Linked DNA regions of Diceros bicornis minor. The protein of the gene in region 1 purifies or fractionates together with the protein of each later gene. This does not show direct contact. Links are inferred from orthologs where the notes say so. Each region holds a gene or a part of one and is shown in the gene's direction. Other genes may lie near its edges.

Region 1 (7,800 bases):
AAGATATTACCATGCAAACATTAATTAAAGGAAAGCAAGAGTGGCTATATTAATATCAGATAAAGTAGACTTCAGAGCAAAGAAAATTACCAGAGACAGACAGGGACATTGTATAATGATTAAAGGGTAAATCTGTCAAGAAGACACAGCAATCCTAAATGTGTATGCACAAAATGACAGAGCCACAAAACATATGAAGCAAAAACAGATAAAACTGAAAGGAGAAGTACAAGTGGTTACAAGCATAGGTGGTGACTTCAACACTCCTCTCTCAACAACTGATAGAACAACTAGACAGAAAATCAACAAAGATAACAAAAGAACTCAACACCACCAACCAACAGGATCGAATTGACATTTACAGCATACTTCGACCCACAACAGCAGAATACAAGTGCCCACAGAAGAATGCCAAGATAGACCATATCCTGGGCCATAAAACAAGCTTCAACAAATTTTAAACAACTGAAATCATACAGAGTGTGTTCCCCAACCACAATGGAATCAAACTAGAAATCACTAACAGAGAGATAACAGGAAAATCAACAAACACCTGGAAACTAAGCAACATCTTTCTAAATAATCCATGGATGAAAGAGGAAATCTCAAAGGAAATTTAAAAAAATACATGGAAATGAATGAAAATGAAAATACAACATATCAAAATTTGTGGGACACAGCTACAGCCATGCTGAGAGGGAAATTTATAGTACTAAATACATATATTAGGGCCGGCCCCGTGGCTTAGTGGTTAAGTGTGTGCACTCTGCCACTGGCGGCCCGGGTTCAGATCCCGGGCGCGCAACGACGCACCGCTTCTCCGGCCATGCTGAGGCCACGTCCCACATACAGCAACTAGAAGGATGTGCAGCTATGACATACAACAATCTACTGGGGCTTTGGGGGGAAAAAATAAATTTAAAAAATAAAATAAAATAAAATAAATACATATATTAGAAAAGGGGAAAGCTCTCAAACCAATAATCTAAACTCTCACCTTAAGAACCTAGAAAAAGACAACCAAAATAAATCCAAAGTAAGCAGACAGAAGAAATAATAAAGATCAGAATAGAAGTCAATGAAATTGAAAACAGAAAACAATAGAGAAAATCAATGAAACAAAGAACTGGTTCTTTGTAAAGATCAATAAAATTGAGAAATTTCTAGCAAGACTCATGAGACAGAGAGAGAGAGAGAAATTACTAATATCAGTAATGAAATGAGATAGCACTACAGACTGTAGATATCAAAGAATAATACAGAAATACCACAAATAACTTTACATACTTTTTACAAACTTTTACACCATACAAAGAAAAAAAGAGAAGAAAAGAAATCTCCAGGCCCCGATGGTTTCACTGGGGACTTCTACCAACCATTTAAAGACAATTGACACCAATTCTACACAATCTTCTAGAAAAAGAAGAGGAGGAAACACTTTCCAATCCATTTTATTTATTTATTTATTTTTTTGTGAGGAAGATCAGCCCTGAGCTAACATCCATGCCAATCCTGGCCCTGAGCTAATATCCGTGCCCATCTTCCTCCACTTTATGTGGGACACCACCACGGCATGGCCTGACAAGTGGTGCGTCGGTGCGCGCCCGGGATCCGAACCCGGGCCACCAGCAGCAGAGTGTGCACACTTAACCGCTATGCCATGGGGCCGGCCTCCCCAATCCACTTTATGAAACTAGTATTATGCGGATACCAAAATCTGACAAAGATGGTTAAGTTCACACCCTCCGCTTCGGTGGTCCAGGGTTCACGGGTTCAGATCCCGGGTGTGGACCTACCCACCGCTCATCAAGCCATGCTGTGGCAGGGCCCCACATACAAAATAGAGGAAGACTGGCAACAGATGGTAGCTCAGGGACAACCTTCCTCACCAAAACAAAACAAACAAAACCAATACAAAAATTAAAAAAAAACAGCTGCAGACCAATTTCCCTCATGAATATAGATGCAAAAATGCTAAACAAAATATTAGGGAATATAATTCAGCAGCATGTGAAAAGAATTATACACCATGACAAAGCAGGGTTTATTCCAGGGCTGTAAGGCTGGCTCAAAATTTGGAAATCAATCACTGTAACTAATATTAACAGGCTGAAGAAGAAATCACATGACTAAACCATCCTCATCTTTCAGGCCTGTAAATGTTGAAGAGTCCTAGGACTCAGGCACCAGGTCCTTCTTCTTTCTACATCTATTCCTCCATAGGACCCCTACATTTATATCCTAGCCCAGATCTCTCCCTTGAACACCAGACCCATAAACCCAATTGCCTGAGACATTGGACATGCATTTCCAACTGGACACGCACAAGTCTAAATTCCTGCTCTTACTCCCCAAACCAGCTCTTTCCGCAATTCAGAAAATGCAAACTCCATTCTTATGGTTGCTTTAGGCTAAAACTCTCGGGGCCATATAAACTCTTATCTTTTACACCTCATATCTAATTTGTCAGCAAATCCTGTGACCTCTTCCTCTAAAATATCCCCAGAATCTGACCCTTGCTGACCACCTCCACCCTGGTCTGAGTCATTCTTTCACCTGGGCTATTAACAACAGCTGCTGAACTGGCCTTCCTGCTTCCATCCTTGCGCTTGTACCCTCTATTTTCTACTTAGCCACAATGCTCCTCCTTTGCTCAAAACCGTACAATAGACTCTCATCTCATTCAGAGTAATATCCAAAGTCTTTACTATTGCCTACAAGTCCTCAAGTGATGTGCTCCCTGGCTACTTTCTGAGCTCATTTCTAGCTTTCTGGTCTATATCACTTCAGCCTTACTATCCTCCTTGCTGTTCCTAAAAATGCCAACAATGGTGTAACCTCAGGACTTTGCACTTGGTTTTTCCTCTGCCTGGATCAATATTCCACCACACAGCATATGGCTTGTTCTCTCATTTCTTTCAGGGCTCTGATCAAATGTCACCGCATCAGCGAGGCTTCTCTGAGCAGCATATATAGTAGACTCCTATCCGCCCACACAGGCATCTTCACCCCCTGCACCCTCCTTGACTTTTATTCAAGGTACTCATCACTTTTTGACTCATTTCATACTTGCACGTTTGTTTACCCAGCTTCCCCTGCAGAAGACAAGCTTCCAAGAACATGGATTCTCTCTGTTTGTTTGCCTAGAAGAGAGCTTCAGACATAGGTGCTCAAAAATTATTTGATGAATGAATGAATGAACCACTGGTTGGGAGTAAAGAATTTGGGATCAGATAACCTTGATTTGACTCCAGGCTCTGTCATTTCCTAACAATGTCCAAGTGACATTGGACAGATTACCTACCCATGTTTTATGTTTCCTCATCTATCAATTAGTGATAATAATCCCCATTCCATAAGACTGTTTGTAAAGGTTTAATAAAAGAATGTATGTAATGTGCTTAATCCACAGTGAGTTGGTATAAAGGCACTCAGTATATAACAGTGTTACTTAATACATAAAAATGGTCTAGATTTGGACTCAAAGGCCTAGGTTATAATTACGACTAGATATTGTGTGATTTTGGGCTATTCATCTCTTTTATATCAACTCACTCAATCAGCTACGAATCAGGTGCTGGGGTAAAAAAGAGATAAGATGCAGTCCTTTCTCTCTAATCTCAGTTATGTGATCTTGGGTAGGTCACCCAACCTCTCTCTGCCTCAGTTTCCTCATTTGCCAAATAGGAATTCTGTAACATAATACCTATTCATAGCTTTGCCATGAGGACTAAATGAGTTACTACGTGAAAACACAGTGTTTTTCTAGCAACTGTTCACCATGTTAGGTATGATTACGATGATTCTTGTCTGGAGGAGGAGTAAAAGCATCTAAGCAAAGAACTACAATACAGTTGAGTAGAGCAAAAACCGGCATCAGCTAGAAGAACGTCTCCTAACTGTTGTCTGCCCACAACTGGGAAGTTCCACGACAATCAGGAAACTTTAAAATTCCATTATGTCTTCAATAACCTAACTCCCTACCTCCACCCCCTTAAGCAGTTAGAAGGTCAAAATTTCTCTGCTGATTTGATACCTGGAATTTAAAACTTTTTAAAAATAGGAAAAAGGTTCAGAGTCTTAAATAGTGTTCCTTAAAGAAGGTCAGTGGATCCACTGACTTCTCTGTCCCCGCTCCTCAGAAAGTTAACATATTACTTAAATTTCAGAAACAGTCAACTGGACCCCCAGAGGGCAAGCGCAGCATGTAAGTCCCTGCATGAGCAACCGATTAAGAGCGGAGAGCACAAAGGTGTGTTTCATGGCGGTGCTGTCACAGACTAAACGTCAGAACTGGACATTAAAGGGAGGTCTTGGAGGCCGAATGGGAGGCCACCAGGTGAGAGGTGGGCGTCACCTTTGGAGAAAGAACAGCAAGAGCCAAGGCGTGGAGGCGTGAAAACGGCACGTGGGTGGCTTGGCAGAACCAAAAAGAAGCTTGTGGGGGGCGCGGCCAGAGAGCAGGACGTGTATGGAGGAAGAGTGCGGCCTGGAGCCAGCCAGGTGAGGAAAGAAGCCCCCTTCCCAAACCCAAGTCGTAATCTCTCCGCCTCAGCGTCCCCTCAGGATCCCCCTCTAAGGGCTCGCGGTTGCTGGGTTCCCTGTTGCTCCCGCCACCCTTCCCTTACCTCGTCTTCCAGCCTTTCCCTCACTCTCCCGCCTCCTCCTCCTCGCCGGAAGTGACGCGCTAACTAGCGCGCCGTACCGCGCCAGAAAGGTTCTGCGGGAGCGGGAGAAAGGGTTCCGCGGAGGGTCACTGCGCCGGCGTGCGGGCGCGAGCGGAGAAAGCGCCTTCCGGAGCCCGCTCAAGTGCGCTCCTTTCCCCGTCTGCGGCTTTCGAACTGCCCTGAGCGAGGTTCAGAGAGGCCGCCGCCACTGGAGGGGCGTTTTTTCCACAGCTCTGACACCTCCTGGTGTCCAGCTCCTCCGGCCCTTGCCCTTTGACCCCGCTGTGGCGGCGGGGTGAGAGGTCGGTGGCCATCTTGTGGCGGCGGCACGGGCCGCTGTTACTGCGGAGACCCATCCCCTCCCCCTCTTTGCCCCCCTGGCTGGCTGTCTGTCAGTAAAGAGTCCCCAAGGCCGTCAAGTGAGGCCCAGGCCTCGTGCGTCGCTCTTGCCGTCGCACTGGGCGGCCCAGGCCGCTCCCTGCTGGGCTTGACCGCTGCCACCATGTCCTCCTTCTCCGAGTCGGCGCTGGAGAAGAAGCTCTCGGAGCTGAGTAACTCTCAGCAGAGCGTGCAGACCCTGTCCCTGTGGCTCATCCACCACCGCAAGCACGCGGGACCCATCGTCTCCGTGTGGCACCGCGAGCTCCGCAAAGGTAATCACCCCCTCCCCTCCCCCTTGGAACCTCCCCCGGCGTGTCTTCTCCCCCACCCACTCCCGAGGCCCCTCTAGCTTCTTAACTGAGCCTTGCTTTGCAGGCCCGGGCATCCGATTGCGTTTCTGAGGTTGGAAACAGTATTATCCCCATGTCTCGGAGCACGAAATTGAGGCCCGGGAAGGTTTAAGGTACTGGTCCGAGGTTCCACCGACCAGGGCTCAGGTACCCGGATGCTCCAGCCCTTTTCCCTTCAGGCTCCTCCTGACACTTGGGACCATTATTATCTGGGCGGCGTTCAGCGCCTTGTTGAGGGCGCTGGCCTCAGCCTGTCGTGTGCCAGGCGCTTTGCTGGGCATTTGGCGTAAGAGCCGGCGGACTCGGGAGTAAGACTGCCTAGATTGGGTCCTGCGCAGCCACTTACTTGCTGAGTGATGTCGGCGTTTCTTCATGTCTGTCTCGTTCCTGATCTGTAAAACGAGGGCAGGGTAGCTGCCACCTACAGAGCCTTTATTCTGTGCCAGCCCCTATGCTAAGACCTTGACGTGTATCCTCGCACTCCCTCTTCAGAACGGCCCTGTGAAGTGGGTAGGTGCAGTTACTCCCATTGTAGAGAGGTTGAGGGGCCACACCACCTAGACCTTGCCCGTCAGGCTCCTCTTCTAATGCAACTTGCACTGATTCTAGACCTTGCTCAGGATCTGACAGGGGGACATTCACGGAGCTCAGCCTGTCGTGTGCCAGGCCCTGGACTGGGTGCTTGGTAGCACGTTGGCTCTAGAGGCCAACTGCCTGGAAGTTAAGCCTGCCTTTGCCAGTTACTGACCCCAGCAGCTTAATCTCTGTCCTCGGTTTCCTTATCTGGAAAATGGAGATATGATAACTGACATTTACTGTGCTTTTATTATGTGCGAGGTGCAGTACTGATGTCTTTACACACATTGTCATTTTCTGAATTCTGGAGAGTCCGGTGAAGTAGGAACTTTGCAGATGAGGAAAAACTGAGGCTCAAACAACTCGTTGTTGTGAGGAGTAGACAGGATAATCGAAATGAACATCTAGCGTGGTGTCAGGCACAGTGTGGGCATTCGATATGTACTGGTGAGGTGGGCTCCTGATTACTCAGTGTGAGACATGGGCTTTGCCCCCAAGTTGCTTACAGTCTGGTGGGGGAGGATGGGCACCTGCACAGCTATCTGATGCCCCCTGAGTTCCCTTCAGAAAGCTGAGGAAGTGAAGCTTAGAGCTGTTTTGGACAGCCTATGTGGTAGGCCCTTTATAGCATGGGAAGTAACTTTGCATGTGTTCTCTACTGTCTGTGAGGTGGCGATTCCACCCTCTCCTACAGATGAGGAAACTGAAGCGGCTAAGTGGTATTTTCAAGGCCTTAGAACTGGTGAGGCTCAGACTACGTCAGGCTGGCAGACACCAAAATCCAGGATTCTTTCAGGAGACTCGGTTATCGCCCTCTAGCAGAGACACCCCCCCATATCATGTGCATTACTGAGATAGGGGTCCTCTCAGCCCTCTGGGCAGTTGGGGGATAGAGCCTGGGGCTCCCCAAGCCTTCTTCCTATACTACACTGTGCCATTCAAATATTATTTCCAACATCTGAGATGTGAAAAAATGAATTGCTTCTACAGGATACTATCTGGTAGGATCTCAGAGACAGGTCAGAGTCCATCTCAAATGTCACTTCTTTTGTGAAGTCTTCTTGATTCCCCACCTCACCCTATTTGAGTTATTGAAAATAACAATTTAGAGAGTGCATTTGTTTATGAAGCTCCTTTAACCCTAATCTCATATGTTGGAATCTTATGTTGTAAGTAGGCTGGCGTTATTATCCCCCATTTTATAGATGAGAAGATAAAGATACGGCGAGATTAAGTGCTTTGTTCATGGGCATACAGCTGGGACATAAGCCCAGAGCTCTCCGACGCCAAAACATGTGCTTTGAAGTATGTACCCAGTGCTTCAGTGCACTTAATAGGTGAAGGTGGTTCTCTGACTCCAGCCAAATCGGTAGTGCTTTCATTGGTTGGAATTAATCACTGCCTCCCACCCCATCCCACACCAACTTAGTGTTTATTTCATTCTTACTAGTTATGTCTTTTTCACTAGATTGTGTTTTGGGGGAGAAACTAGGCCTTCTTGTTTCTCTGTAATGCCCACAGCATTTGGCATGGTGCCTGTAACTCAGTTAAAAAATAGGTTAGGAGTTAAATTGTGTTCTTTGGCATCATTTTTATGGTTGAATAAAGGATCCAAACAACACTGTCTAATACAACTTTCTATGATGATAGAAATGTTTTGTATCTGCACTATCCAACAAGGTAGCCACTTGCCGCATGTGGCTATTGAACACTTGAAATGTGTGACTAAGGAACTAAAGTTTTAAATAAATGCAATAAAAAATTCAATTCCCCAGTTTTGCTAGCCACAATTCAAGTGTTCAGTAGCCACCTGTGGCTAGCGGCTA
Region 2 (7,406 bases), on another chromosome or scaffold:
CATCTGCCAATCCTCCTCTTTTTTTTTTGCTGAGGAGGACTGGCCCTGGGCTAACATCCGTGCCCATCTTCCTCCACTTTATATGGGACACCGCCAAAGCATGGCTTGACAAGCCGTGCATCAGTGCGCGCCCGGGATCCAAACCAGCAAACCCCGGGCCGCCACAGCGGAGTGCGCACACTTAACCGCTTGCGCCACCTGGCAGGCCCCCATTGGTGCTTTTTAAGAGAGTGTTTCCTCCGCACCAGTACAGTGACTATTTCACTGAGATGACAGAAGTAATTGAAGAGAATTTCTGCACATTCTCACCAACGAACCTACCAACCAACTTACCTGAATCTCTCCCTGGATGCACTACGTTCCTATTACAAGAAAGGAACAGTCTGTGGACCTATCACTTGATCCTACCCTTTCCCACCTACTGAAGGGAATCAATCCAGCAATTGTCCCATTTCTATCCTGTATCAATATTTCCCCCTAATGTATCATTTGCATCAGCTACAGTTATTTCCTATATTGGAAAAAGAAATGACCCCTTGAACTCACATTTCTCTCCAGCTTCAGCTCCTTCTCTGCTCCCATTTTATTTCTTGAAAGAGTTGTCTATTTGTGATATCTCCACTTCTCCCATTCTCTCTAGAACTCTCTCCAATCACTTCATTTCCTGGAAACAACCCTTGTCAAGACCACCAATGAGCACAGTGTTGCCAAATCCAGTGGTTATCTCAGTCCTCATCTTATGCAACCTACACAGCAACACCTAACAATTGATTACTCCCTCCTTGACAAATTTGCATTACTTGGCTTTCAGAACATTATTCTCTGGGTTCCCTTTTCACTGGTTATTCCTTTTCAATCTCCTTTGCAAGTTGCTCCTTATATCTCAGTCCTTGGACCTTTTTTCTATCTACACTCACTCACTTCCTGGGCAACTTCATCCATCTCTTGGCTTTCAACACCCTCTATATACTGACAATTCTTAGATTGATGTTTCCTACCTAGACCTCTCTCATGAACTTCAGACTTATATATCTAGTGCCATTTTTGTGTCTGATATCTTAAAGTCAAGATGTCCATAACTGAAATCCTAATTCCTACTCATTTCTCACAGGACTACTCCTCCCCCTAACCTCTCCTGGTCTATCTGAGAAAATGGCAACTCCATTCTTCTAATTCATGCATTCTCAATGGGGGCAATATCATCCCACAGGGGAAAAAATTGGCTCTGGGGAATGAAAATATCTTAGATATTACAATGGTTTGTGACCCTCAAAGCTCAACTCTACCTAACAAAATTTTATTCCTTATTATTTAATATCTCTCATTTTCTAGGGTATGACTACAAGCAGCAATGATATTGAGTTCATGGGAGATACACAAAATGCATGCAAGGTCAGTACTACAAAACTATGAGGAATAGATGGCTGTGATTGAAGAACTTTCTCTCCCTCTATTGCCCTATTTTTAAGTCCTAACACAGGAAGTGGCCTACACATGACTATTGGCTGTCATGTACCGCCTTGTGTGATTGATTCTCAGTGCTTCTGGCATATGACTTGGGCTTTAAAAAGCAAATAAAAATAGTTGATATTTTATTATTCTATAAAAGTTATTGAATGCATCATTAACTATGTCAAATGCTGAGAAGAAAAAATGTCAACAATATCTGAATACTAAGTGGCTAATAATTTTCTCATGTCAAGTAAAAGTTAAAAGTTCACTAAAAATTTTTAAGAAATTTAATTTTTTCAATTGTTTTACTTTCGCTGGAAATATAATAGTTTTGAATGATTTTTAAAAAGATTACATTGCTATTATGCATTTGTATGAATTGCTAATTTTCATATGTGATATGATAAATTACTATTTTTTAAATAAATACATTAAAGTTTACTCAGCAAATACAATTATAAAGTTAAGTTAAATATTAATAGCTTCAAAATTTTTAATTTTTAAAGATTTTAGTCATTCTTAATTCTGCATTGAATAGAAAGAGTAAACTTCATGCTTACTCTTGTATAAAGCACAGATATACATGCAATACATAAACAGATATACAATATATCTGTGGCATTAAAACTTCATGAGGGGGGCTGGCCCAGTGGCATAGTGGTTAAGTTTGCACGATCCACTTTGGCAGACCGGGGTTCGCAGGTTCAGATCCCAGGTGCAGACCTACACACTGCTTATCAAGCCATGCTGTGGCAGGTGTCCCACATATAAAGTAGGGGAAGATGGCCACCGATGTTATCCCAGGGACAATCTTCCTCAGCAAAAAGAGGAGGATTGGCAACAGCTATTAGCTCAGGGCTAATCTTCCTCACCAAAAAAAAAAAAAAAACAACCTCATGAGGGTTGGGGGGATTAGGAAAAAAATCTAAAAAGGATCTTTAGGGGCAACAATAATGAAAAAAAAGGTGGAGAAACACTGTTCTAATTGTTCAGGTCAAAAACCTCCATGTCATACTTGACTCATTTTTCTCATATTCCCCTTAAATCCATGAGTAATCCTTTTAGTTCTACCTTCAAAATATATATCCAGGATCTGACACCCCTTCTCATTATCTTTTTTGCTACAACTCTGGTAATGCCGCCATCATTTCCTTGTGTAGATTATTCCAAAAGCCTCCTTAACCGGTGGCTCTGAAGTCTATTTTCAACATAGCAACCAATGTGATTTTTTTTTTGTGGAAGATCAGCCCTGAGCTAAGATCCATGCCAATCCTCCTCTTTTTGCTGAGTAAGACTGGCCCTGAGCTAACTTCTGTGCTGATCTTCCTCCACTTTATGTGGGACGCAGCCACAGCAGCATGGCCTGACAAGCGGTGCGTCAGTGCGCGCTGGAGATCTGAAGCCAGGCCACCAGCAGCAGAGCGCCCCCACTTAACCGCTATGCCACTGGGCCGGCCCCCCAATGTGATCTTTTAAAAAGATCACCACGTAATTTCTCTGCTTAAAAGGGCTCCCCATCTCAGAGTTAAAAGCCAAAGTCCTTACAGTGGCCTGCAAGGCCCTACTCAAGCCCTCTCCTACCACTTGTCCCTCTCTTACTGTTCTCCAGCCACACTGGCCTCCTTGTTCTTCCTCTGATATGTCAAGACATTCCTGTTTTAGGGCCTTTGCACTTGCTGTTCCTTCTGCCAGCATGTTCTTCTCCACCTCCGCGATAGCTGCTTGGTTACTTTGTTCTTAACATTCAGATCAAGGGTCACTTCATTCCAGAAGATTTCCTGGATCACCAAACCACCATTCCCATCCCTATAGAGGATCACACACAATGTCCTCTCCCTCCCTTACCCTGCTTCATACTTCTTCATAGAACTTCTTACTCTCTGATATACATTTGTTTATGGTCTCCTGCCACTAGCCCGAAAAAGAAGGGATTTTTGTCCGTTTTGCTAGCTGTTATTCCCCAACATCTAGAACAGTATTTGGCACAAGACGTTCAGCAACTTTTTGTTGAATTAATGAATACTAGATATGAGCTTGATAAAACAGGTTCCCTGCATCAAGAAACGTGAGCCTACTAGGGAGATGTAAGAAAATTAAAATACAATACGTAATTGCATGTGTTCAGTGGAACACAGGAGCCTCCAAATCTGCCCAGAGGATTTGCATAGGCAGATGAGATGGAATGCTTAATCTAGGTTGTGCTAATCAATATAATAGATATCTAAGGCTCTGGTAAACTATAATGTATTATGCAATTGTGAGATTGCATCACAACTGAAGATGAGATCACACTTTGCCTTTTATTCTTTCCTCGTCTCGAAAATTTTACGGGGCAATTTTTCGTTTCACTTCACTTACTTCCTCTTCCTATAATCCAAATAGTTAAGTGACTGCGAGTGGTATCGTCCAAGGGGCAGTGTAAAATATTGTTTGGTCTAGAGTCTGCGTAGTGAATGGCTCGCAGGAGCTGGCGCATGCGCATCTTGTAAGGCAGGGCAAAATGGCTGCCAGCCCCTTTGTCGCCCGTTGGTGCTTCGAGGAGTTAGCGGCGGCGGCGGCGGTTGCAGCCGCCAGAGAGTAACAGTGCCCGCTGAGTGGGGGGAGTTTCCCGGCCTTGTTGTGTGAGCTGCACAGCCTCAAGAGACAGACCTCGCTAGGAAGCAGAAGGCGGGGCGGAGCGGTGAAGCCCCTCCCCCCAACCCTTCTCCTTAGTTTGACCAGCTCCCTCACCCGTCCCTCCCCGTTTTTCTTCTAACCCGCTACACGTTTATCTACTGCGCAGGCGCACAAATAATCAAAGCGCCTCCTTGGCCCTTGGGGCTTGCGGGCTCCTGCGCGCGCTTCCCGTTCTTCTCCCTCGATTGGTCGGATTGCCCCGCCATCACGCCTCCCTCTGCTTTCCAGGTTGAGAAGGAAGCGGAGGGGGGGCGGGGCCAAGCAGCGCGTGCGCGATACTGTTGCTGTGCCTTTGCTGCTGTTGCGTTGCAAAAAAAAAATCCTGACTAGGTAGCCTTGGGCCTTTTCTGTGTTAGAGGATCTAAAGGAGAGGGAAAGATTTCTGCAACTGAAGGGGCAGTCGGGTACTATTAAATTTAAGATATTAACGCCCGCCCTTACTGGAGTAAGTGGGAAGAGGAGTGGGGAAGGGCCTTAGCGTTGAGAGCCGAAGAGTATAAAACCATTAGTTTCGCGGCCAGGCATTTTGAGAGGCTTTGCAGGACCTGTTTTTTGCGTATTTCTTCCGTGATTACTGACTGGTTTAAACACAAGTCCTTAGAACAATTCTGATAAACGTTCGAAACGCGCAGCCCAACCTTGCAGCGTGTAGGAGCCGCCAGCGTGCCCAGCAGCTTGGTCCTCCCGTCCTACCTCCAGAAGAGCCTAGCGCGTGCACCACCCCACCCCCTGGCCTCCCTCCCCACCTACGGCTTTCACGCATTCGCAGTGATTGTTTTGCCCGCGTCCGCTCCCGCCGCCGCCGCGGCCGCCAGAGGAGCAGCAGCGCTTGTGCAAAGCGGGAAGATGGCGGCCGGCGGCGGCGGAGGCAGCAGTAAGGCCTCCTCCTCGTCGGCCTCTTCGGCGGGGGCTCTGGAGTCCTCGTTGGATCGAAAATTCCAGTCGGTAACTAACACCATGGAATCTATTCAAGGCCTGTCGTCTTGGTGTATAGAGAACAAGAAACACCACACTACTATCGTCTACCATTGGATGAAGTGGCTCCGGAGATGTGAGTGTTGGGGGTGACTGGGGAAATGGAAGGAAATACTGCTCGAAACGTTTGGGATTTTCCCACGGAGCCACTGCCTTCGGTTGGGGTTGTCTCCATTAAAGCTTTGGCTCGAGTGTTCCCAAACCTAGACTCCATTCCTAGCCAAGGGGTGTCCTGAACTGCAGGAGGCTCATTATTTCTTGGATTTTTTTAGCCACTGACTTGGTGTAACCTTGGGCCATCGGGCCCAGATCGATAGAGATTTATGTATTATTTCATTTCAGAGCCTTGTAAGGTGCTGTTGACTTTACTGAACCTTCACGTTAATTGTCGCGTCCGTTTATTTCTTATAGGCCTTGTCGTGTTAATGATTCCTGGTTTTCCTGAAGATAGACAAGCTATGGTTTAAGCAGTAGTAAAGCCACGTATTTCGCTGGAATATGTTCGACTACTTTATTTTTTGACTGATCTAAAACTTGTGAGGTGTAGTAAGAAAGGCTTACCTTGGTGAATGTTAAGAAGTAACATGAGCTCCATACGGAGCCGAGGCGACGACCTGGGGGTTTCCCTGTACCTGTGTTTGCTGCAGTAAAATCCAGGCTTCTTGATACTGACCGGAAACAACTGTAGTCTGTATCATCACTAATATCTTAAAGTGTAAAACATATCTGGCTACTTTGGAATCACTTGAAGTACCTTTTTAAGGAATTGAGTTTGGTTTCATAGGTAATCAAAATAGGAAATCAAGAAATGTGCTTTTTGAATACACCTATAGTACTTTTTTACCCAGTTATTGCTTTTTTGTTTTCATGGGGAGTTTTTTCCACTTTGCTGCTTTACTACGGAAAAGAGGTCTATTAAACTGTCAGGAAGCATGGATTGTTTGCAAAAGATTTCAAATCTTTTTGGAGGAAGTCTGGAGAAGTCACTGTTGCTTCCTACTGAGAAGAGGTTAACCTTAAATCCATATATCTATTTGAATTTTAGGTCTTTTGTTGCTTCCTGTCTATGGTATGTCACCAGTGAGACCCATCATCCAGTTATTCTTCTTCCACTTCTGCCATTGCCCCTGTAGTGTTGTGATTTGTTTACGTTTTAGGAAACCCAAGGGTAAAACCTGCAAAATCATTGGCCCCAGGTTTCAAACCATTTGTATACAAAGTTATTGTTGGGAGAGGTGTTTTGTGGCTCTTTGAATAATATATGCTGAAAGAGTTGTAGAACCAACACAGGATTACCTGTATTTACCAATAGCAGATTGAAGTTTCTTTCTTTCCAAGAGGTAAAATTAGAACATACAATTTCAAATATAACAGTCATCATCAAAGACTCTCACATATTAAGTATCTGCTATGTGCCCAGCCCTTTATTGTCATTTACAATATCTATTGCATTATACTTTAAAATAACCCCTGGTAGTAGATTTTTTAGTCATTGATTTACAGATGAGGAAACTAAGGCTCAGAAATGTTAAGCAAGTTGCTTAAGGTTAGACAGTAAAATGGTGGAGTTAGGATTTGACTCCACCATATCGGATAACAATGGCCACATTTAACTTTTTAAAATAATGTTTTGAAGATTATTCTTTCATGTACTTGGTACACCAGTGGTAGCAAGCAGTGCTCATGTAAGCCTGAGGACATATTCTCCTTAAACATATTCTCCTTCCTGTTTTAAAACGTTTTTACTAAATTATTCAAACATTTAACATTTCCTACCTTTGGACTCTGGTGCTTTAACTATATGGTTACATCATTTGCAAGAGTAAGTTGGTCCCCATCCCTGCCTTGTGGGATTACAGATGACAATTACAGTATTTTTTTTTTTTTAGTCAGCAATAATGAGATATACTGGAGCCAGAATTTTTCGGCCTCTACTGTTGTTGATATTGTGCCTGAGCTTATTTCCCTTGTTGATATCTTAAGAGCAAAAAAATGATTGCTCTAGGAAGACAATACTTAATTTGGAAGTGGATAGTGGATTATATATAGTTTATATAGTTAAATGCTTTTGGCTTTCTAAAAACCTGCTTTTTTTCCCTTAGTGAAATGGAACTTAGCTTTCTAAAATGGTTAAGGGTAGTTTTGAGTGGTTTTGTATTTACATTTAATGAACATTGTCTGTCTTATTGTAAATAAAGCCTTTTGAGAGAAGTATTCAGGAGAGTGGTGAAGGGCATGATGAAAACAGTTTATGCATTGGGCCTCATTTTCATTTAATTTTGTATTTCTTTACAGTTAATACT
Region 3 (7,125 bases), on another chromosome or scaffold:
CAATTCTTTGTATTACACTTGGTTGCCTCTTGGCTATATAACTTCAGAGTGCAAATCATTGAACTCTTTAACAAAGTATTGTAGAGAATAAATCATAATGGGTAAAAATTGTTCTTTGTGATGCCTATTTTTTTTTTCTTGGAACAGTGGTAACAGTCATTTTATTTTTGAAGACTGCCAACCAGACAGTGTTCATTCAGCCTGCATATTTTGTGTGGTGTTCATGACCCCCAATAACCTCGCACTTGTATATTTTTTTGTGGTTAGTAATAATGCCACTGGTTTTTTAGAGCCAAGTTTCTTGAGCCATGAGCCAAGAATTCATGAATCCTTTGAAATTTGGATTTTTCTAGAAAGAAGGCTCATAGTTTTCATTAGATTTTCCACTGAAACTGACCTTGCCCAAAAAGCTAAAAACTGAAGCGGGGAAAAAAATGCTCAAATTTAAGATGTCATCTGGTGACGTTAATCCAAGCAAAGACCCTAGGACATATTGATGGTCTGGCCAAAAGGGAAATGTTTTGGGCCAGAAAGGATGAGATGTGTTTGAAGAGAATGGTAAGGAGTAATGTTTCAAACATACAAACATTCATATGCTGGGATTGTCAGTCTTCAGTTGAGATTTTTATTTGCAAGGAAGTAAATTTTTTTTTTTTTGGGTTCCCAGTTCTGAGGGCCTTACACTTGGCAGACCTCATAAGCCACAGGTATGCATGCTGTCAGGCTTAGGTAATATTGGAAACAGACTACAAGCAACTGGTTAAACACTTAGAGATTTGGTTAGACTTAGAGACTGGTTAAACACTTCACAGATTTGATAATAACTCGGGTGTGTGAGAGGAATTCTTTCAAGAGAAATTATGGTTCTAGAGATTACTATTCCATATTACCTGTGATACCACCTGTAGTCAAACAGCATGGAATTCCATATCATTGATTTTTTTTTTTGGTGGTGGCGGTATAATATGTATAACATGAAACTTGCCATTTTAACAATCTCTGTTGTCTTCTGAAATGTGAACTAAGCCATCTAGTCAGAGATCAGTGGTGCTAATTCTTGTGGGAGTGGGGGCAGGGGAGGTGCTCTAAAGCTGCTTCCAGATCAATCTAGGGTCTGTGACCTTGGCTTGAATATCTGGCTTTGAAATACTACAGTGATCTGGCTGAAGGATCTGACTCTGAACCAACAGTGTACAAAGAACCATGTAGCGTCCTGAGGAACGTAATGTTAGTCCTGTCCCTCCTGCGTCTGTTTCCCTCGTTCTAAAATGAAACTCTGACAAGGATTCTAGGGTCTCTTCCTGCTGCTTACTCGCTCTGTTTCTATGAGGTTTTGTATGCTACAGCAAATTGGAAAACAAGTGACTCCTCCAATTTCAAAACTAACTATTGATGGGGGAACCAAACAGGAGAGAGTTCTCAAGTTCTGCTGCCAGTCAGACCCCGACTCCCAGTATGGCCATTGTTTCTTTGATCCCACTTTGGTTCTCAGCCAAAGAAGTAACCAACCAGAATGCTGACATTGGAATCTTCACAGTCTGGCAGTCTGATACTTGAGCTCAAATCTTGGTCCTGCCATTTATGAGCCAGACAACTAGTTCTGAGCCGAATTTCCTGCTTTGTGACAGGCCTGTGAATCTCCAAGGTAGCCTGTTGGAAATGCTTTACCAAGCCCCAGCACATGGTGCACTGGCTGAATGATTATGACTATCCAGACTGTCATCCAGTGCTAAGTGTAGATGGGAACAACTGGGCAAGTGTCAAACCCTCTGAACCCTAAGCTACTCTGGGCCCATGAAAAGAGGTGGCATAATTGGTGTACTCAGCCCTTCAAGTCCGGACAGGCTTCCTGAAAGACATGGGTGCTGAAATCAGCCCAGCTTGACCTGAAGAAGAGAGAGCTTCTCAGGTAGAGTCAAACAGTGCCAGGACAGCATGATGGGGTGGACGAGCCCTCTCAGGGCTCACTGCCCTGTCACATTGCCACAGGCCAGCCAGGCCTTAAAATCCTGGGACTCCCAGGACCCCCCCCCCCGGAAGTTTTTGTGCCTGGAAGTCAAAGGGTGTTGGCAGAATCACACAGCCCCACCCCCACTGTATATACCCCATTCCTTTGTATCTCTAGAGACTATTAATAGCATGAGGGAGAGGATTACAGGTGGATGCCTTTAGCTTCCTTTGTAGCACTTACCAGCAGACTTCAGCAGCTGGTGACAAAGATTTTTTAATTTATGAGAGAATAGCTTAAATTGGGAGATTCTGTACATTAACTTTGAGTATACAGAGAACTGCGAAATGTCATCATTCTACATTAGGGGCAGAACACCTGGGTCCAGGAAAATACATGAGTGATTCAGTCCACAAGCACTTTGAGAAGCACTGTAAAAGGTTACAAAAGGTGGAAATTACTCTTTTGATTGAAAAATGATAGAGCAACATTAATGAAAAATATAGCAAACATTTGTATAAGGGCTGCATAATTACTGTGTTTTCCTTCATTTTCCAAGAATGATATAATGAAAATGACATTTAAGGAAGTTGAAATATGAATTTACCTTAAAGAGCGAATATTTCTCTTATGTACCTGACAATTTTGTTCATGTGACTCCTCCCCCATCACTGACTACATGTTAAGGAGCGGTTCCAGGCCAGCCCCTGCTCCCCAGACCCCTTGACTCATCTACCTCCAATCAGAAGAGGCCTCTTTCTCTTTGTATCCTTCCACAGCACTTGTTTTTACTTTCTCGCATACTATTTGCTACTTTCTGTCTTTTATTATGGAAAATAAGTCCAGATCTTGCATCAGCTACTCCAGGAGAGCTCCTTGTGGGGACAGAGCTATGATTGATTCATCTTTTTAAACCCAGGGCCTTGTACATAAGCGTTTATAATGGTTTCCTGAATGAAAACGTTGTGGACAAACTAACCTGTGAAACATCACTGCATGTATTTTTTGTTATTTTCCTTTCTTCTCTCCTCACCTGCTGACTTCTCTCCTGCTATGTGTGTGCAGAAGCTACCAAGTGTGGGGTATCCAGCGAGCCCTCGAGCCAGCACATGGTGAGGTCCAGTAAGTAGTAGGTGCTCTGTAAAGCCCTGTCAGATGGACAGATGGAAGAAAGAGGCCTACACTGAGTTGCAGGTCCATTTCCACACCCAGCGGCTGCATGTCCTCAGACTTCTCAGCAGGACATCTGTCCGCAGTTCTAATGAAAGCACTTTGAAACAGTAATAAGCTCTGCCAATACTATGTAACCTACTATTATTTTACCCAATACATGCCTTCTGGAAATACACATACAGAGCAAATTAATTTTGTGAAAATTATATTTATAAATCAAAGGAATATAGGTACACATTCTTGTCTGGTAATATCTTAATTCATTTTTTGTTAACAGAGCTTATATGATACCTAAACATTGTTCGCCACTGAGCCACGTTGTGCGCTATGATTATTTCCTTTACGGTATAACCTGTTTTCTCTGTAGTTGAAAACACCATCATTTTTCATTTGCTTACTTTTCTATGTATCATCCAAATGCTCCAACAGATGTGTTAAAGGCCCCTCAATATCACTGTTCACGAGCTCAGAAGTATCCACTACAAATCAATCAAATTTTTTAAACGCTTAAGGCATTGAAAGGAATTCCACTGTATGTTTTCGTAGTCACCTACCCACCTTTACATCAACGGGAGTTCCTTGGGTCAGTCACTTGGCGCGTTTCTGCATCTCATCTAATCCGTTCCTCCGCCCTGGAAGGCAGGTTCCTTATCCACACTTCATAGGTGAGGAAGCTGAGGCTCAGAAAGGCCCAGTGACCGGTCTCAGGACAAGCGGCAAAGGACGTACTGGACAAGAGAAGGAGCACGGCTTCCCCCAGCGCAGGCCAGTGCAGGACGCCCTTGGCGCTCCGCTAACCTCCGGAACCCCGCCGCCCTGGCCCGGTCTCCTCTTCCTCTCTGGCAGCCCGAGTCCGCTCGCTTGCCCTCGGCCGCCTTTCCGGCCCCGCCCACCCACCGGCCCCGCCCACCTCCGCCAGGTGCCCGCCTCGGCCTCCAAGGCCACGCCCCTCCCGCGGCTGGCGGCTCAGCGCTTCCGCTTCCGGTGGTGTGGTTGGCGGCTGTGATGGCGGCAGGTGGCAGCGACACGAGGGCTGGCGATGTAGAGGAGGACGCCTCACAGCTTATCTTTCCCAAAGGTGGGGCCTGGGGCTGCCCGACTGCCCCTATCGTCCGGCTTGGTCGCCGCAGGCCTGGCGTTGCCGGCGCCCGACCAAGGTCTGGCCACGGCGGGCAGCCAGGCGTCCCCGGGCGGCGACGGGCGGGGGGGGCCTCGAGAGCGGGCCACCTAGGTTCGGCGCCTGCAGGCCTGGAGCCGTCGGCGCCCAGCCCACACTGCCCCTGGGCGGCCTCTTGTACCTGTTTAAGTCGTTTATTTTCTCTGATAAACCGCAAGGTGCTGGAGGGCTGTGTCAGGCTAGACAAAGCCGGCACTGGTCGAAGCGGTAAGGACAGATTGTAATCAGTAATATGCTGTCGCAGTAGGGGAAGAGTCCAGCGTGGCCTAGGCTCAGCTTCGATTTGGCGTTTTAAAGGAAGAATGAGGGGATAGAGAGGGGGTGAGCGGGGCCTCGACAGGGAAGTGAAAAATTACAGAAGGCGGGAAGGGGGGCTTTGGTCTATTTGAAACTCGTTTTGTTTGTTAACTGACACTTAGGGAAGTTCGGCTCCTGCCCTCCCTCTGGGCTGGGAGACAGGGAGCCTCTCTTCAGGTGTCGGCTGGAGCAAACAGTCCGTTATTTTAGTGGCCTTGAGTTTTCACAGGCAGGCGCTTTAAAGGGGCTGGGGTCGGCCATGAGCTGTTAGAAATCATGTTGGTGTTTTGTTCAGGTCTTTATGGGCCAAGGTTGAGGCCTAGTGGAGAAGAGGGCTCAGAAGAGCCCAGCTAGTGATTGGTCAAGGAGGGACTCTTGTCAGATGGCAAGGAGTAAAGCACATTTTGCTATCAGGGAACTTCCTCAGTGCAGTGGGATGCACTTTGCTTGTAATTTAGAAACCCAAAATAAGCAGGAAGCTTAAGATTTTAAAATACCATATTTTACAGGTACTGAAAAACACGAAGTAAACAGGGGAAACCTTAACAACACCCTCCTGTTTTAAAAATTATTGTATCCGGGCTGGCCAGTGGCTTATCGGTTGAGTGCGCACGCTCGGCTACTGGCGGCCCTGGTTCGGATCCCAGTGCGCACCGTCGCACCGCTTCTCCGCCCCACATATAGCAACTAGAAGGATGTGCAGCTATGACATACAACTATCTACTGGGGCTTTGGGGAAGAAAAAGGAGGAGAATTGGCAATAGATGTTAGCTCAGAGCCCGTCTTCTTCAGCAAAAAGAGGAGGATTAGCACGGATGTTAGCTCAGGGCTGATCTTCCTCACACACACACACAAAATTATTATATCCACAGTAACAAGTGAAACTCCACACCCCCTTCACCCAGAGGAAAGTACTGTAAACATTTTAGTGCTTATCTTTCCAGACTCATTTTATGCTTATTCATAAATATATACGTATACACTTTTTTCTTTGCAAAAATGCAATTATGCTGTAGAAATCCTACAGCTTTTTAAAAATTTGACTATATATTGTACAGAAGTCTTATTTTTTTAAAGGGCTAGATAGTACTTAATATATCTATTGATAGACTTATAGGTTGCTTCCAGTTTTTTATTTCATAGACTCAAGGTCAAATGTTTCTATAGGATAGCTTCATGGAAGTTTTTGGCATAATGGAAATATGTTTGTTTCTTTTTTAAGGTGTAATAACTAAGAGGGACATGGTTTTTCTTAATTTCATGGTAAATTAGGACAAATTTTTTGTACTTGAGTTTTATCTACGTAGTTTTTATTTAGTTTTTTTCTACTCAAAATATTTGTTTTGATAAAATCAGGTAACATCTGATACACATGAACATTTTATTGAATTGGGTATAATTAGATATTAGATCCTATCAATTAACAGTGTATCAGTTCTGAATATCTGTTATCTTTAACTTCTCAGCTGATATAGGCATATAAAATGTTTATTATGGGGGCCGGCCCGGTGGCTTGGCGGTTAAGCGCGCGGGCTCCGCTGCTGGCGGCCCGGGTTCGGATCCTGGGCGCTCACCGACGCACTGCTTCTCCGGCCATGCTGGGGCCGCGTCCCACATACAGCAACTGGAAGGCTGTGCAACTATGACATATAACTATCTACTGGGGCTTTGGGGGAAAAAGTAAATAAGTAAAATTAAAAAAAAATGTTTATTATGTATTTTAGAATGTATGTAGATATATAGTATTTAACAGTAAGTAATGGGCCGGCCCGGTGGCTTAGCAGTTAAGTGCGTGTGCTCTGCTGCTGGCGGCCTGGGTTCGGATCCCAGGTGCACACCGACGCACTGCTTCTCCGGCCATGCTGAGGCCGCGTCCCACGTACAGCAACTAGAAGGATGTGCAGCTATGACGTACAACTATCTATTGGGGCTTTGGCAAAAAATAAATAAATAAATAAAATTAAACAGTAAGTACTTAAAAGATAGGGAAAGTCTTTGCTGTAGGATGGAAAGTAAACAAATGTGTGATATTCCATTGTAGGACTGAAAGAATGGATGAGACGATTGAAAGCTTCTGAATACGTGTAGTGGTAGTTTTCACAAGCATATTTGCATGCAAATAAAATTTGTTCTTCATCGGCATAATTAACAGCAACTGTATGGAAGAAATTAGGAAGTAAGCCATTTTTTCCAAAAAAGATTATATAATCCCAGTCACTCCCTCCCTCAACTAAAGAAATCCCCTAAACCATTTTATTCTAGAGAGAAAAATGTACATTATAAGAAGACCACCTGAAATTGCTACCCTTATCATAAAACATTTATTAATGGTTGTAATGAAGAATCTTTAAGAAAATTCCTAGATGAGGTGCTGACCAAGGAATTGTTTTCCTTCTTACAGGAACAGGGATTAATAAATTGTTCTGAAAATATCTGCACAGAGGGAGAATAACATGCAGATTCCCTGATGTATTTCATTTTGTTTCCCAAATAAATTAAATTATGTATAATGTGTGTGTATATGGTTTCA
Region 4 (7,441 bases), on another chromosome or scaffold:
TACAAGACTTTGTATGGACACATGCTTTCATTTCTCTTGGGTAAATACCTAGCAGAGGAATCGCTGGGTCATATAATAGGTTTTAAGAAACTACCAAACTGTTTTCCAAAGTGGTTGTGCTATTTTACATTGCCATTGGCAGTGTATAAGAGCTCTAGTTGTTCCACATCTTTTCCAACACTTGGTATAGTCAATCTTTCTAATTTCAGACATTCTGATAGTTGTGTAGTAGCATCTCATTGTGTTTTTAATTTGCATTTTCCTAATGGCTAATAACATCGGTGACCTTTCATGTGCTTATTTTTCATCTATACATCTTCTTTGGTGAAATATCTGTTCCAATCTTTTATAACCTAATCTTGGAAGTGACACCCCATCACTTCTGCCATTGGTATTACTTTTACCATATTCTGTTTGTTACAAGTGAGTCAGTAAGTCCAGCCCATATTCAGTTGGAGGGGGACTTCTCACTAGGGGGACCATTGGAGGCCATCCTAGAGGCTGCCTACCACAGATGGCTTCCCATTTCTCTTGGAATAAAATTCAAACTCCATATCTTGGTCTACAAAGCCCTGCAAGATCTAGCCCCAGCCTTTTTAACTGTTGTTATTTGAGGAGCTCTTTCTCCTTTTAGAGCCTGAGTATTTGTTCTTCCCTCTACTTGGGATACTTTTCCATCAGATTTTCCTATGGCTAATTGCTTCTTGACATTCAGGTCTCAGCTTATAAGTTACATCCTCAGAAAAATCAACCTCAATCACCCAATCAATCAAGGTGGCCTCCCAATTACTCCTTATCACATCACCTGTATTAATTCTCCATGTAACACTTTAGTACTATCTGATGGAATGAAAGTTTCAATGTGGCAGGAAACGTGTCTCATTCGTCACTATATCTCCAAAGCCTAGAACAGTGTCTTACACACGATAGGTCCTCAATAAATATTTATTAAATGAACCAATGAATGAGATCTCCAAGGAGGCAAAATGGATGGGATCCAGAGCATAGATGGAGGGATTAACCTTGAATAATGTCCCCATTACTATTGCTGTTTAACAAACCACTCCAAACTTAAAAGTATGAAATAATGACCATTTTATTATGGCCCCAAATTCTGTAGATCAGGAATTCAGAAAGAGCCTAGTGAGGATGTCTCTGCTCCAGAGTTTCTGGGGCTCCAACATGGAAGTCTGGAAGGCTGGTAGTGACTTGACAGTTGGGGGCTGGAATCATCCAAAGGTTCGTTCATTCACACGTCTGGTGGCTGATGCTGCCGTTAGGCTGAGACCTCAGCTTGGACTGACAGCCGAAACACCTAAGCAAACTCAGGTTTCTGCACGGCTTGCTGGTTGGGTTCCAAGAGTAAGCACCTCAGGAAAATTAGGCAGAAGCTGCATCATCTTTTACCATGCAGACTGGAAAAATCACTTTTGCTCTAGTCATAAGCATGCCCAGATTAAGGATAGGGAACATCAACTCCATTTCTTGAGAGGAGGAGTGTTAAATTCACATACTAAGAACATGTGGGACGGGAAATATTTTTGCTGCCATTTTGGTGTACTCCAGGTAAATTGTGACCAGTTTTGTGGCCGTTCACGCCCCCAAACTGACAATCATTGGGAGAAAACAGAGAAGAGCAGCCTGCAGACTCTGAAGATTAATGTTACAATTTTACAATTGATTGGCAATTGTTATATTCAACTCTGTAAGGACAAATGGAAATCTTTCCCGGGTTTTTCTGTTTGATTTTGTCATCTTTAAATCACATTCAAACACTGTCCTTGGGCAGGTTGGTGGAAATGGGATGGCTAAGTCATCCAGGCATCACTTCATATGCTGATGAAATTTTCCTTTCCTTTAATTCTTCGTTGTGAATTTTTCTTTCTTTGTAACAGCCAAGTTCATTAGTTTACTCTGAGGGCAATTAACACTCAGGTGATTAATCCAAGTATCATAGGAAAACATGATTTAGAGTTTTTTAATGAGTATTGAAAAACAAAACCCAAAAACACTTGTCTAGATTCAATTTTGTAACAGAAGGGCTCTTTGACATACAATTGGAATTCTTCAGCGGAGATTAGCTGCCTGTGGTTTGTGGGTCCATTTCTTTTCAAGTGTTTTGCCCAGTTTGGCTGGAAACAGGTAAACATTTCTCTGCTTGTGAAATCTCTCCATTTTATATCCTTTTTCCCCAGAAATTGCTGTTAAAGTTTGCGTTCTAAATACTCATCTTTGTTTGTTTGACAGATTATAAAAGAATATGTTGCCTATTTTCATTTTGAAGCACAACTAGCCTGCTTGGTTACTGAAAAGAGAGCTAGACAGTTTGTGCATAGCTGTGGTTAGGAACTCAGATTTGTATTATGACATCTTGAGTCCTAAGCTATGTTGTGTAAAAGATTCTATCCCATACCACTGAAAATATCTTCACAGTAATTATGGTTAATACTTACAGAAAAAGCTTAAGGTTTGTATACACAAAAAGGACTTTCATTAAGAGAAAGAGGAATATGGAGTAAAAAAATTATGAGAGGGAGATCCTGTCAATTCGTACCCGTTATGTGCATTAGGGGGAGACAGAAAAGTACAAACCCAGCTCTCTGACAGAATTCCCTGACTTTAAAATTTTGTTAGAAAGGAAAAAGAAATCACCATGCATAACACAATGAGAGAAGCATTATATGTTTCATATTGTCAGGTTCATAGTGAGGTTCTGACTGTAAGCACTACAGTTATGCTCAAAAGAAAGAGCAATTTGGGTTGGAAAAATCTAAGAAGGCTCAGGGCGGAGGTGAGACTTGAGCCAAGATTTATAATGGGGTGGGGGGAAAGGGACAGCCTTCCACAAGAGGACAACAGCCAGGGGCAAAATTCTGAGGCTTGAGAGAAAGGCATCCTCGCCTTGAGGACACCTGTGGCCCAGGATCTTAGAAGATGGGGATGACTACTGTGGGGGAATAAAGGCCTCCAGCTGCGGCCAGAGACAGGATGAGGGAGCCTTTGGGGGAGCTTGCCAGCGGGACAACTACCTGACTCAAAGGCCTTACTCAAGTATTTCTTCTTTAGCCAGGGCTGGAGCAGGTATTGAAGTCCTTGAAAGCTGGGCTTATGTTGAGAATTTTGATACATTAATCTGATTAGAATGGACTAGATTGGGAGGATATAGAAATGACTTCAACTGTGCTCCCTGGAGTAGCTTCTGCTTTTATCTAGAGCTTCTGTCTGATTGGGAGGGAATTGCTTGTGTTTATTATAGCACTTGACATAGGATTAGAAAATTTAAATTTTCCATATCAAAGAATGGGGAGTTGGAGTTTATGGGGGTGTTCAAACTTCCCAATCGATATCTGTTGCAACTCGTGCATGCTTCCTACTCAATCTTTTGGGACATGGCTCTGTTAGCTGAACTGTAAAGAGAAGGTAAGAGCTGGCTGTGATGCTTATGACACTTCCTTCCTCTTCTCAACAGCTGGAAAGAAACTTTTCAACAATATTATACATTTGGAAATAGGCATAAAATGAAGAAGGAGGAAATTTCCAAAGTGGTGTGGTGGAACGAGCAGCTGGACATTTGAGTTTGAAATCTGATGTGTCACTGACTTGTTTGGGGTCCTGGGAATACTTACTTCAGTTTTTGTGCCTCTGTTTCTCTATAGGCAAAATAGGGAATTGTGAAAGTGATTCTCAGCTGGCTTGGACAGCTATTTCCACCCCCTTCACCTCTCATGGGCCTTGGGAAACGTGTGTGTAGGGGTCAGGAGAGCCGTTTGGGGTTGTTACAGTGACTGTGGCAGTAGCAACTAGTGGGCAGAAGCCAGACACCAACTGTCTTTCAATGCCTGAGGCAGTGCCATAGATGAAGAAAAGTCCCGCTTCAAATGCCATAGAGCCCCATTAAGAAACGCCAATGGTCCCAAGGATCCTTCCAACGTTAACATTTGAGGACTTCACTAAGTCTTGGGCTAGGAGGTGCCATAGCATAGGCCAGGGCCCCTCAAACCCTGTCCTGCACTCCGCCCCAACCTCACCAACAGCTAGCTAACTCATCACTCAGATTTCACTTATATTTCACTTCTCAGAGATACCATCCCTGGTGCCCACCCCAATCTTACTATTACACTGTTTTCTTCTTACTTGATTAACGTCTGCCTCCTCCACCACTCGGTAGCCTGTCTAGCGGCAAGGGCCGTGGCTACCTGCCGAGGTCACGGTGGCACTCAGTAAATACTTTTTGAATACACACACGGAGACTGGACGCACATGGAAACAACCTGCACCGCAAAAGCGAGCCCAGCCGGGGCGTGACGTCACCCCGTCACTTCCGCCCCTTCCCGCCCCTCCGGGTGCCCCCTTCTCCTAGTCTGTGTCTGTTTCCGGCGTTTCAATAAAGCTCGATTCGGCTCGAAGACGACTTGTTCTTCCGGGAAAATGGCGGCTCCCGCTCGTGCCCCGGAGTCCCCGCCGGCCGCGGATCCGGCGCTAGCAGCTGGGGCTGCCGAGGAAGCCGCGTGCCCGCCGCCTCGCCAGGCGCAGCCCCCGCAGAATGTCCTCGCTGCCCCGCGGCTTCGAGCCCCAAGCTCCCGAGGACTTGGGGCAGCGGAGTTTGGCGGAGCTGCGGGAGATGTTGAAGCGCCAGGAGAGACTTTTGCGCAACGAGTAAGCTTGGCTCCCGCCCAGTCACTGCCAGGCTCCTTCGGTTCGGGCTCCCCGGGACGCGTCCCTCCCTTCCCTCCCCCCGTGCCTTCTCTGGAAGGTGACCTTGCCTCAGTCAGATTCGTCCCATCCGGCTGGCGAGTGGCCGGCCTACAGCCGCAGAGCCGACCGCGTCCCGGCCGGCGCGTCCCGGCCGGCGCGTCCCGCCCTTGGGGGTGGCTCCTGTGCTGAACGGCGGCTTGGCCTTTCTGCTCTCCGCTAGCTCCGCGTTGGTTTTCTTTACTCAGCTGCCGTGTCTGTTCCTCGAAGGAAGGCTCTGTGTACTACGTCCTTTTCTCCCCCTCCCCCATCGTGTCCCAAACATCATCTCAGTTGCATCGTTCGATCCTATTTGTACAGGAACCGTAGGAAATGGAAAGAGTGGGATATAAAGAGTGGTTTATTAGGCAGAGAAAGTTTGACTCTCATTCAGCTGGGAGACTTAACGGATTTTAGCAGGGGAACTATATAATGGAAGTAATTTTTTTTTAGGAAGCTAAATTTAGCAGCTTGGTGCAGGATGGTTGGAAGGAATAAGAGGCAGAAGACAGTAGGAGGATATCTTCAGAAAAGTTCCCAACGAGGGGGTTGTAAGAAGGCGAACTAGAAAGGTAGTTGAGGGATTGGAAAAACTACATTAGGCGTGGAATAATTTGAATATGTAGTTGACAGAGAGGGTTGAAGTTTCCAGCCTGTATGGAAAACCATTAATAAAAACAAGAAAAACGTGGAGAGGACTACTTCCCAGGTTGATTTTACTTAAGGCATGCTGAGTTAACTAGTTACCTGGTTAAAAGCTGCAGAAGTGGTCATGAGGCTCAAGAGAGAGAGGAGAAGGTTGGGAAAATACAGGAATCGCAACTGGAGAGAGATGTTACTAGTTGAAATTGTGAGAACGAATATAGTGCCAGAGAAAGAATAGAGGGCCTGAGATGTAACTTCCCTCCCCATTTATTGTTTAGCTAAAGACAAGGGAATTTGAAAAGTAACTTCTGTCATTCAGCAAAAGGGACGAACAATCACTTGGGTTCTTCCTAGTAGAGACAAGTTTTTTGACTTTGTGAGAATGAGTTTTTAATCTTTAGCAGTGAATTAACTTTTTGGTCCCAGGACCCCTTTGTGCACTTAAGAATTGTTGAGCATCCCAAAGAGCTGTGGTTTTATGTGTTATATATACTGATATTTATCAATGTGTTAGAAATTACAAGTGAGAAACTTTTAAAACACAAGAATACAAAAGCACACACATTCCATTAGCCATCAGAGCAGTGATATCCTCACATATCATGTGGCTTCTGGGAAGCTCCACTGTACCCATGTGAGAAAATGAGAGGGAAATGGCAAATGGTGTCTTAGTACTATTACGAAAATAATTTTGACCCTGCAGACTCATCCACCTCCCCTCCCTAGGAAGGTCTTGGAGATCACACTTTAAAAACTACTGATTTTTGTAATGTTTTATATGGTTCTTATATGCTTAAAATACTTTTGCTGAAATTTTAATTAGATGAGACAAGTGAGGCATATTCCCCATTCTTCCTGCATGTCCTTGTTTTTTTGAGGTATTTGGATAGTGACTGTCTTATTTCATTCCTGTTTTGGGGCAGTTGGAAATCAGATTTTTGACTTAAAGGTCAATTTTGGTCCTTTTGATGATAATGCTTTGTCTTTATATCTCACGTTTAAAACCATGGCTCTAATGTATACATGTTCTTTTCCATTTGACAGAAAATTCATTTGCAAATTGCCCGACAAAGGTAAAAAGATAATAGACTCTGTTGCCAAACTGAAAGCTGCCCTTGCAGAACGTGAAGAAGTTAGAGGGAAGAGTGAACTGTTTCATCCTGTTAGTTTAGACCATAAGCTAAGGCAAAAAGCAGTCGCAGGTGTGGACGTGGACACGGATAAGGCCCAGAACTCTGACCAGATCCTTGATACTTCATCACTAGTTCCTGGCTGTTCCTCTGTAGATAACATCAAGTCATCTAGAACAACCTCACAACAACAGGGACTTGTATATCCTACTCACAGAGGTGATGCAGAGGCTCCAGAGGTTGAGTACGCAGTGAACAAGTGCCCAGCTTCCAGCAGCAGAGACAGCGCGCCTTCCTCATCCAAAGCTAGCGAGCGTCTCCCTCAGCATCGTGTTTCAAGTCAAGCAGAAGATCATTCTAGCAGCTCTGACAACCTGTTTATTGATAGGTTACAAAGGATCACAATTGCAGACCCAGGTGAACACCACTCTGAAGAAAACACCAGTACTGAGAACTTGACAGGCCTTTGTAGTGGGACTCAGAAGAAGCCTCATTACTTGGAAGTGCTCGAAATGCGAGCCAAAAACCCAGTGCCCCCACCACATAAATTTAAAACCAATGTGTAAGTACCATCGGAAACAGGCTGTCATGGCAACATAGTATTTGTTAAACTCAAAAATTGGAAGAATGCTTTCAGTTCAGTGGACTTGTGCGTGAGAACTACTTGTGGTTAGGAATGAACATATTGTAAACAGACCAGAGGATTTATGTTGAAAAATACTTAAGCTTTTTTAGCCAAATAGTTGAAAAGATTTTAAATAGCAGATGGAGTATTAAATTTCGGGATGCTTAGGCAATATTTCATAATAAACACAGAGTTAGAGAATTTATTATGCTTTTTTCCCCGGAACCATTTTCTGGTATACAGCTCCCCCCTTTGATTAGACTGTAGGCTAAGGGAAAAGCAATCACAGGAGCTGATGGCCTTTCTCAGC

What was found.
Region 2: the proteins of RPRD1B (region 1) and RPRD2 purify together in Homo sapiens (affinity purification with mass spectrometry; 4 studies listed by BioGRID and IntAct, counting the BioPlex papers as one, with this or other methods). This does not show direct contact. The link is inferred for Diceros bicornis minor from reciprocal best matches to the Homo sapiens genes RPRD1B and RPRD2.
Region 3: the proteins of RPRD1B (region 1) and POLR2D purify together in Homo sapiens (affinity purification with mass spectrometry; 3 studies listed by BioGRID and IntAct, counting the BioPlex papers as one, with this or other methods). This does not show direct contact. The link is inferred for Diceros bicornis minor from reciprocal best matches to the Homo sapiens genes RPRD1B and POLR2D.
Region 4: the proteins of RPRD1B (region 1) and POLR2M purify together in Homo sapiens (affinity purification with mass spectrometry; 3 studies listed by BioGRID and IntAct, counting the BioPlex papers as one, with this or other methods). This does not show direct contact. The link is inferred for Diceros bicornis minor from reciprocal best matches to the Homo sapiens genes RPRD1B and POLR2M.

The regions. Positions count from the first base shown.
Region 1 is NC_080758.1:22,147,440-22,155,239, reverse strand, and holds the start of RPRD1B (regulation of nuclear pre-mRNA domain-containing protein 1B), read left to right. Parts: upstream 1-4,789; 5' UTR 4,790-5,169; coding exon 5,170-5,320; intron 5,321-7,800. UniProt on the Homo sapiens protein: Interacts with phosphorylated C-terminal heptapeptide repeat domain (CTD) of the largest RNA polymerase II subunit POLR2A, and participates in dephosphorylation of the CTD by RPAP2. Transcriptional regulator which enhances expression of CCND1.
Region 2 is NC_080743.1:54,811,286-54,818,691, forward strand, and holds the start of RPRD2 (regulation of nuclear pre-mRNA domain-containing protein 2), read left to right. Parts: upstream 1-4,395; 5' UTR 4,396-4,974; coding exon 4,975-5,179; intron 5,180-7,406.
Region 3 is NC_080749.1:5,087,801-5,094,925, forward strand, and holds the start of POLR2D (DNA-directed RNA polymerase II subunit RPB4), read left to right. Parts: upstream 1-4,106; 5' UTR 4,107-4,126; coding exon 4,127-4,199; intron 4,200-7,125. UniProt on the Homo sapiens protein: Core component of RNA polymerase II (Pol II), a DNA-dependent RNA polymerase which synthesizes mRNA precursors and many functional non-coding RNAs using the four ribonucleoside triphosphates as substrates.
Region 4 is NC_080744.1:52,976,781-52,984,221, forward strand, and holds the start of POLR2M (protein GRINL1A), read left to right. Parts: upstream 1-4,431; 5' UTR 4,432-4,543; coding exon 4,544-4,656; intron 4,657-6,420; coding exon 6,421-7,068; intron 7,069-7,441.